2 linked regions of the Macaca mulatta genome follow. The protein of the gene in region 2 purifies or fractionates together with the protein of the main gene of each other region. This does not show direct contact. Links are inferred from orthologs where the notes say so. Each region holds a gene or a part of one and is shown on either strand. Other genes may lie near its edges.

What was found.
Region 1: the proteins of NPLOC4 (region 2) and ASPSCR1 purify together in Homo sapiens (affinity purification with mass spectrometry; 3 studies listed by BioGRID and IntAct, with this or other methods). This does not show direct contact. The link is inferred for Macaca mulatta from reciprocal best matches to the Homo sapiens genes NPLOC4 and ASPSCR1.

What each region holds. Positions count from the first base shown.
Region 1 is NC_133421.1:91,683,374-91,687,409, forward strand, and holds the end of ASPSCR1 (tether containing UBX domain for GLUT4), read left to right. Parts: intron 1-518; coding exon of another isoform or gene 519-608; coding exon 609-661; coding exon of another isoform or gene 662-724; intron 725-2,544; coding exon 2,545-3,270; 3' UTR 3,271-3,404; downstream 3,405-4,036. UniProt on the Homo sapiens protein: Tethering protein that sequesters GLUT4-containing vesicles in the cytoplasm in the absence of insulin. Modulates the amount of GLUT4 that is available at the cell surface. Enhances VCP methylation catalyzed by VCPKMT.
Region 2 is NC_133421.1:91,341,363-91,345,862, reverse strand, and holds the start of NPLOC4 (nuclear protein localization protein 4 homolog), read left to right. Parts: upstream 1-1,636; 5' UTR 1,637-1,818; coding exon 1,819-1,833; intron 1,834-2,768; exon of another isoform or gene 2,769-2,772; intron 2,773-4,500. Other genes in the region: TSPAN10 (tetraspanin-10), read right to left, coding at 1,345-1,352. UniProt on the Homo sapiens protein: The ternary complex containing UFD1, VCP and NPLOC4 binds ubiquitinated proteins and is necessary for the export of misfolded proteins from the ER to the cytoplasm, where they are degraded by the proteasome.

The sequences.
Region 1 (4,036 bases), about 340 kb from region 2:
TTTCTCCTAAGCCCACTCCTGCCTCCAGTGCTCGAGACCCTGGTGCTGTGGGCACACCGCCCGTCCCAGCTGGGGCTCTCGGCAGCTTCTCCATGGGAGCAGCATCTGTGGCCTCCCGCCCAGCTGCCTCCTGCAGCCTATGGTGTCTGTGTGGGGACCTAGCAGGGCCCTTCTCCCTGAGCCGGGCGGTGGGAGGGTGGGAGCCAGGCTTCCTGCCTTCTGTCTCAGCGCTCCGCTCCCCTCTGGAGCCCTGGGGCTCCCCCACCCCTGGGGCTCAGGCCACTCCAGCGAGAGGACTGTGGGAAGGGTCGGTGGACAGGAAGCGGCTGGCCTCCCTTGGAGCGTCTAGGTGGCAATGGGTTAGGCTGCCCCCCTCAAGCGGAGCTGGGCTGCATAGGTGGTGACCCCTGCAGTTGGGCCTGCCCTGCCCCAGCCCCTCCGAGCCCCCAGCTGGGGTTTCTGCAGCCGGAGTGTGGGCACAGGGTGTGATCATGAGGGGCTCTTCTGCCCCACGTGAGGTGTCACCCCCATCTTCGGGCCTGTCTTCTTTTGGGAGCGTGGATGGGGACCGCCGTGCTTCCTAACACATAGATGCCTTCTCTCCTCAGTCATCACCCCTCCAAAAACAGTCCTGGACGACCACACGCGGACCCTCTTTCAGGTACCCGAAGGCCTCTCTGGGGTGCTGCGGGGCGGGGCCCTCCAGGGAGGGCAGGACGCGAGGGTGAGGCCCGCAGTCAGGAAGGAGTGGCTTGGCAGGCGCTGGTGTGGGATAATAAAGCCTTTGAGAGCGGGTGGGTTCAGAGGGGGCCGTGCGCCTCTGAAGTTGTTTCTGACAGGTCTTTCCAGCCTCCTCTGCTTCCTGCCTGGCCCCGGGTGAGAAAGGGCCTGCTAGGCGGCCTGCCTGAACTGGGGCCGCTTGGAGGTCTCGGCCCCCCTGGGCTGCTGTGCTGGGGCCAAGGCAGCACCGGTGCCCGCCCAGGCGTCTGGGTGAGGAAGGGCCCGGCAGGCCTGGGAGCAGGGCTTGGGGAGCCCCAGAGGGACCAGGCCCTCAGCTGGAGGCGGCCGCCTGGGGCTTCAGCTGCCAAGTCTGTGTTCCTGCCCCTTCCCCCTTCCCGGCCTCTCCCGCTGGCCCCGCTGGCCCCTGCTAGGAATGCCCTGGTACCCATAGCTGTCCGCTGCTTCTGTGGGTCCCTGCCACCTCCCTGAGAGCTCCTGAGGGTGGGGCCAGAGTGAGGGTGCCCGGTCCCCAGCCCTGCTGGGCCACCCTCCAGAGCCAGAAGCAATGAATGTCCTGTCCTTGGCCTGTGGGAGAGCCGCCTGGGGCCTTCCGAAGCCCTCTGGCCTAATGGTTTCCTCTTCAAAGCCTCTTCAGATATTTTAATTAGCAACAGAGGCGTTTTTTTTTTTTTTAAGTGGCCACAGGCCTCTGCAGAGGCCTGGGTTGGAGGTGAGAAGCTTGCTTGCTGCCTGGGGCTGCAGCCACTTGCTGAGATGGGGCAAGAAGGCTGGCAGCTGCCAGGGGTGATCAGGAGCAGGACTGAGCGGGTTTCCCTGAGACGGAGGCAGGGGAGGGGTGAGACAGTCCCCTCTCAGCCCCTGAGCTGCCGGGCGGACTCTGGGCCTCCTTCCTCCGTCTCCACCCCCTCCCTTGCTGGCCAGCCAGTTGATAAACATTGAATTTGGAAGATGCCTTGGGGTGGAGGAGGACCAGTGTCCAGGCCTGCAGCCCACCCTCCCACTGGGAGGCCCCCTGAGAGCACTGGGGTGCTGCTGCGCTGTTCCTGGGGATACATGGCTTCCCCGCCAGCCACCATCTCCTGCCCTCCGTCAGCTTGGCTCTAGTCTGGGGGCCTCTCGGGGTGGTGTCCCTGGTGACATTCCTGCCTGCCTGCCGTCAGAGAGCTGGCGGGGCCGAGGGGGGGAAGCCTGCCTCCCTGACAGGCAAGCAGGCGGCGGGCGTGGAAGCACCGGCTTTCATGTCTGTCTCTGGCGGGTCCCTGCTCCGGCCCCTGCTTCTAAGAGGGACAGCGTGCGTGGGTGTGGGGGCTCGGGTAGCCCGGCAGCCCTCTGTGGCCCTGGCCCGGGAGAGCGCAGGTTTTCTGGGAGGGCTGGGAGGAGGCGGCCAGGATTGAGGACAGGGAAGTGTGAGCAGCGTGGGGGCTCCACTGTGGGGAACAAAGCCCCGACCGCTGCCTGAAACCTGCTTCCTGGCCCTGGGCATCAGGGCTGGCATGGTCACCTTTGTGTGCAGTCCGCATCCTCATGTCATAAGGAAGGTCATCCTGGACTAGGCCCACCTTTGATGTCACGGTCACCTCACTTATCTCTTCAAACTCTCTGCTGTTTGGGCTTCCTTCCGTTGGCTTTGGTGGGGCAAGCCTGGCTCCTAACACCCTCTGTTTGTTGGAGCTCTCAGGCTGCCTCGGGGGACCCTCTGCCAGGACACTGGCCACCCACTTGGGAAGGAGTGACTGGCACTTCCGGCCTGAGTGCCTGCTGGGCGCCCACCCCTAGCCAGGTCTGTCCTTCCTTTCCACCCAGGACAGCCCCGTCCTGTACTGCTGTGTTGCCCACTGCCAGGGCCTCTTGGGAACGACAGGCCCCCTTCCTCCCACCCACCAGGCCCTACCCCACCTGGACCCTCTGAAATGTTCCTCGTTGACAAATGGTCTTGCAGAAGGTGGGATGGCTCCTGCAGTCCCCGCTCCCGCTCTGTGGGTGGATGCCCTGTCTCTCCCTGCCCGGGCACCGTGGTGCCTTCTCCCTCCCGGGCACCATGGTGCCACCTCCCTCCCGGGCATCTTGGGCTGTAAGGGCTCCTCTCTTGGCTTCGTTTCCCCGAGGGTGGTGCCGTTCTCTTTGGAGGGGGCGACCGGGGCGCTGGGCCACGTGTGCATGCAGCCCCTGCAGAGTTGCTGCCCCATGGGGGTTGGCGTGGGCCTCCTTTCGGAAACTCTTCCTGGCAACACTGAGTGGGGTAAGGGGCTAGCAGCAGAGAGGTGGCCGGATTTGGGACCCCAGTGTCCTGGGCAGCAGCGAGGGAGGAGCCGGCCCCAGGCCCTCAGGCTGTGTCAGGGCAGGGCGGGTGCCCCCACTTCTCCCTGTCAGCCGAGGGAGCCAGGCGGGCAGCCTGAGACCTCCTGGGGCAGTGCTGGTGGGGAAAGGCCTCTCAGCCTGAGCCTCCCTCAAAGGCCCGTCCTGGGCCCTGCTCTGGGTGGCTGGGGGGATGGTGTGACCCACCTTCCTTTTCTAGCCCCAGCTTGGTGACCGGGTGGTTCCGTTCACCCTGGGTCGCTTACTGAGATGGCGCCTGGGAACCAGGGCAGAGAACACCCTTTCCACCAGTGGGGGACGGAGGTGACATGGACTCTGGGAGGCTCCTTTTTTGGGGTCCATCCAGAGGCCGAGCCTCTCCAAGCACGGGTCAGCCTCCATGCCGCCCAGTCTGCTGACCCTCCTCTCCACCATCCCCTCGTCCGAGCAGTGGGATCCCTCCTGAGTCAAGGCTGGGCACGAGCACGTGGGGACAGCCGGGTAGGCTGCCTGGCTCAGTGCTCCTTGCATAGAGGCGCAGACAGAGTCCGGGTGCCCCAGGCCCGGCCACCAAGCCTACTTCCCTCCGCTGGCGTTCCCGAGTCCTGCCTGCCCCTTTCTGTGCGTCCCACGGGGCAGTGCTGGGTGAGGGTCCTGTCCTGTGCGGCTGTGATGAACACCAGGTGCCTCTCTGCATCGGTGGCTTCTGAGGGAGCCCTCTTGCCCCTTGCAGGTGGGGCTGGCCAGGCCTCCTGTGCCCACAGCGGCCTCTGGGCAGTGTCCCCTGGGCTTCTGTGAGCAGTTGCAGCCTGGGTGTGAATCTTGGAGGCCCCGTGGTGATGAAGCATGCCGTCCGCCTGTGAGAGGCCGAGACCACGGCGGCTCCTGGCGCTGTCCTCCCCGTGCTCCCTTCCTGGCTCCCCAGCTTCCGGCGCCTCTTCGGGGCCACTCGGGCAGCCCCTGCCCACCCCACAGGCCCTTCTCTCCTCACAAGGCTTTG
Region 2 (4,500 bases):
TGAGGCCAGAGAATGGTGTGAACCCGGGAGGCGGAGCTTGCAGTGAGCTGAGATCCAGCCACTGCACTCCAGCCTGGGCGACAGAGCGAGACTCCGTCTCAAAACAAAAAAACAAAAAAACAAAAAACAAAAAACAAAAAAACAAAAAAAACAAGCAAAACTCTAATCCCCAAATTCTTGAGGACGCTGATTTTTTTGAGTAGTAATAAAACCTCAGTAACCCGTACAAGCCGGCTCTGTGTGAATTAAACTCTTTATTGCAATTCCCCTGTCTTGATAAAGTCTAGGCAGTGGGCAAGGACAACCTGTTGGGCAGTTACAATGGCACCCTTAGCAAACTAATACAATTACTAACACAATTTAATCAATTAACTTTTTTTTTTTTTTGAGACGGTGTCTCGCTCTGTTGCTCAGGCTGGAGTGCAGTGGCGCTATCTTGGCTCACTGCAAGCTCTGCCCCACGGGTTCACACCCTTCTGCCTCAGCCTTCCGAGTAGCTGGGACTACAGGCATCTGCCACCACGCCTGGCTAATTTTTTTTGTATTTTTTCAGTAGAGATGGGGTTTCACAGTGTTAGCCAGGATGGTCTAGATCTCCTGACCTTGTGATCTTCCCTCCTCGGCCTCCCAAAGTGAGCCACCGTGCCCGGCCTCAATTAACATAATTTAACATAGTTTAAAAAAACCCTCACGGTAATTGTGATGTTGTGAAATAGGTATATATTTGTTCTTTCGGTTTCCTGGCATCCAATTCCTAAAATCCTTAGAATCTGTGAAGCGATGTTTCTGTTTGTTTATTTGTTTGTTTGTTTTTTTTGAGATGAAGTCTCACTCTGTCGACCAGGCTGGAGTGCAGTGGCACCAACTTGGCTCATTCCAACCTCCGCCTCTCGGCTTCAAGAGATTGTCCGGCCTCAGACTCCTGAGTAGCTGGGACTACAGGCACGTGCCACCACGCCCGGTTAATTTTTGTATTTTTAGTAGAGACGGGGTTTCACCATATTGGTCAGGCTGGTCTTGAACTCCTGACCTTAGGTGATCCACCTGCCTTGGCCTCCCAAAGTGCTGGGATTACAGGCGTGAGCCACCGCGTATGGCCTAATCTTGTGTTTTGAGTAGGGACGGGGTTTTCACTATTTTGGCCAGGCTGGTCTCCAACTTTTGACCTCTGGTGATCCGTCCACCTTGGCCTCCTAAAATGCTGGGATTACAGGCATGAGCCACCGCGCCCGGCCTGAAATGCAGTTTAAACTCACTTGTTTTTCTTATGTTAAATTTAAAAAATACTTTAAAAAATAACATGAAGGTGTGATCCTCCCTTCCTGAAATTGTTTCTCTACTTACTTGTGCATGGAGAGAAGTTCGGAATGCTGTTTCCCCAATTATAATACGCTACAATACGCAGCAGTAGTTATTTTTGGGTGAGATTTCGGATGCTCGTCTTTGCCTCCTTTTTGGGCTTTTCGGTACCGCTTGGGTTTCCGAGGACGAGCGTAAGTCATCGCAGAGGCATCTTTCCAAAATCCCCTCCTCTAGTTACAAGGATGCGGGGAGGGTCAGCGGCGCAGCTCTGCGCATGCGTTGAGCAGTTGGTGGGGCCGGAACCTGGTTTCCCGGCCGCGCGCCCGCGGGGAGCGTATTGAGCGAGGCACGGGGACGTCGGCGGCTGGTGGAGCCGGGCGGGCGAAGCTGGAGCGGCGGTGGCGGCGGCGTAGAGAGGCCGGGGCCGGGGCTGAGGCCGCGGCCGGGTCTGCGAGGCCCTTGGGGCGGCAGGCGGCGGCGGCCCGGGGCTCCAGCCCGGAGGCAGGAGCGGCCGCCATGGCCGAGAGCATCGTGAGTGCGGCGGTCGGGCGGGAGCGGGGACGCCGGGATGAGGCAGCAGATTTGCCGGCCGCGGCCTGTGGGGGAGGCGGGCCTGCCGGCCCCGCGACTCGGCCCCTTTCCCTTCTTTCGCCGGGGCTTTCTCTGCAGTGGCTGGGCCCCTCTCGGGGACTTTCACCCCCTCGGCTTCTTCCCGTCCCTGTCTGTCCCCGGAGGACTTGCGACCCCGGTTCTCTGCCCTGGGCAGGGAAAGGCCGAGCCTTTCTGCAGGGAGAATGGACTGTGGCGACGAGAAACCGCCCTCCTTCCCCTCGCGTTTCCCGGCTCCAGGAGACTTCCTGGTCTAATTCCAGGGACCCGCAGCCAGTCCTGCCCCTCTCAGAGCCAGGGACACCTCTTACCCTAATCTCCCTCTGATTCTCTCCTCCTGCTCTCCCACTTCCCAGCAAGTGCCTTGTCATGAGTCACTGAAGAGAGCAGCTCTGCAGACGGGGACGTTACAGAGCTCCCTCAGCACCAGAGGACCTGGGAAAATGAAAACAGTAACTTGCCGGCTTTGCTCCTTGCTTGGAAGGAAAAGTTGACAATTCCTCTTTAAGAGGAATGTTGTAAATGATGTTGATTTCACTTTTTACCTGAAATTAAAATTGTCGGCCGGGCGCAGTGGCTCACGCCTGTCATCTCAGCACTTTGGGAGGCCGAGGCGGGTGGATCACCTGAGGTCAGGAGTTCAAGACCAATACTAAAAATACAAAAAATTAGCAGGGCGTCATGGCGCACGCCTGCAATCCCAGCTACTTGGGAGGCTGAGGCAGGAGAATCGCTTGAACCCGGGAGGTGGAGGTTGCAGTGAGCTGAGATCCCTCCATTGCACTCCAGCCTGGGCTATACAGCGAGACTGTGTCTCAAAAAAATAAAAAATAAAAATAAATAAATTGTCACTCACCCCCCCCCCTTAAGGTAAAAAAAATCAGTGACAAATCAGAGAAAACCAGGCCCTCGTTAAGTTGTGAGAAGTTTCTCCCCAAAAGTAAATGTGATGGGGAAAAAAACCTGACCATTGGACAGGAGCATTTTGGTTAATATTAAGGAAGATTTGGGATTTCTGGGGGAAGCAGGATTGACTGAGGAGTCATGTTCATACTGTAGCATTGTAACAGTCTCTGCAGTTTTGCCAGGTGTTAAGAATAGGTCTCCAGGCCCAGCGCGGTGACTCACACCTGTAATCCCAGCACTTTGGGAGACCGAGGTGGGTGGATCACCTGAGGTCAGGAGTTCAAGACCAGCCCGGCCAACATGGTGAGCCGAGGTGGCGTCACTGGACTCCAGCCTGGGTGACAGAATGAGACTCCGTCTCACGCAGACAGATGGGTCTCCAGGATAACCTAACACTTGCGCACAAGGCTCTTCTCTGGTGGTCCCATCAGCTCTCTATTCAGGGGCCCTCCTGGTGCCTCTGTGTTTCCCAACCTGGAGATGAGTGGAATGAATATAGGGTCCAGGAGAAACTTAGGAAACGTTGACTCCTGGTCAAACGTTGCACAGGCTGGTCTCTGAGCTCGAGGGATCCTCTTGCCTTGGGGTCCCAAATTGTTAGGATTACAGCCCTGAGCTACCTTGCCTGGCCAAGAAACCTTTGACTCCTTTGAAGAATAAAATGTGGCCACGCAGTGGCTCACGCCTGTAATCCCAGCACTTTGGGAGGCCCAGGCGGGTGAATCACGAGGTCAGGAGTTCAAGACTAGCCTGACCAACATGGTGAAACACTGTCTCTACTAAAAATACCAAAATTAGCCGGGTGTGGTGGCGTGCGCCTGTTATCCCAGCTACTCTGGAGGCTGAGGGAGGGGAATCACTCAAACCGGGAGATGGAGGTTGCAGCAAGCCCAGATTGCGCGCCTGGACTCCAGCCTGGGTGACAGAGCGAGACTGTCTCAAAAAAAAAAAAAAAAAAAAAAAGTGTTAATCATTGGTGACTCTGCCTAGAAATAGGTTAGGAATTAGCACTCAAACCTTCTTTCAAACTACCTTTGTAGTTTTAACTGAGTTAAAGTAACCATTGACAAGTGAAAGGTGTTTCAGACAAGGCCATTTTTTTTTTCCCACTAGCGTATATAAGGTTAGGCTCTCATTGACAGCATTAGATCTCATTGAATTTCTCAGATTGTTGAATATCTCTTCTTCAAAAGAAGAGGAATTAAAACACTCTTCTTTTGAAATTGATTTAAGAAGTTATTTTGAATTTAAGAAAAGGTCTTTAAAAGTTTCTGGGCTGGGCGCAGTGGCTCACACCTGTAATCCCAGTGCTTTGAGAGGCCGAGGCGGGTGTATCATGAGGTCAGGAGTTCGAGATCAGCCTGGCCAACATGGTGAAACCACGTCTTTACTAAAAATACAAAAATTGGGGCATAGTGGCTCACGCTTGTAATCCTAGCACTTTGTGAGGCCAAGGCAGGTGGATTACCTGAGCTCAGGAGTTTGAGACCAGCCTGGGCAACAGGGTGAAACCTCGTGTCTACTAAAAAAAAAAAATACAGAAAGTTAACTGGGCATGGCAGCGTGTGCCTGTAGTCCCAGCCACTCGGGAGGCTGAGGCAGGAGAATTACTAGAACCCGGGAGGTGGAGGTTACAGTAAGCCAAGATCACACCACTCCACTCCAGCCTGGGTGACAAGAGAC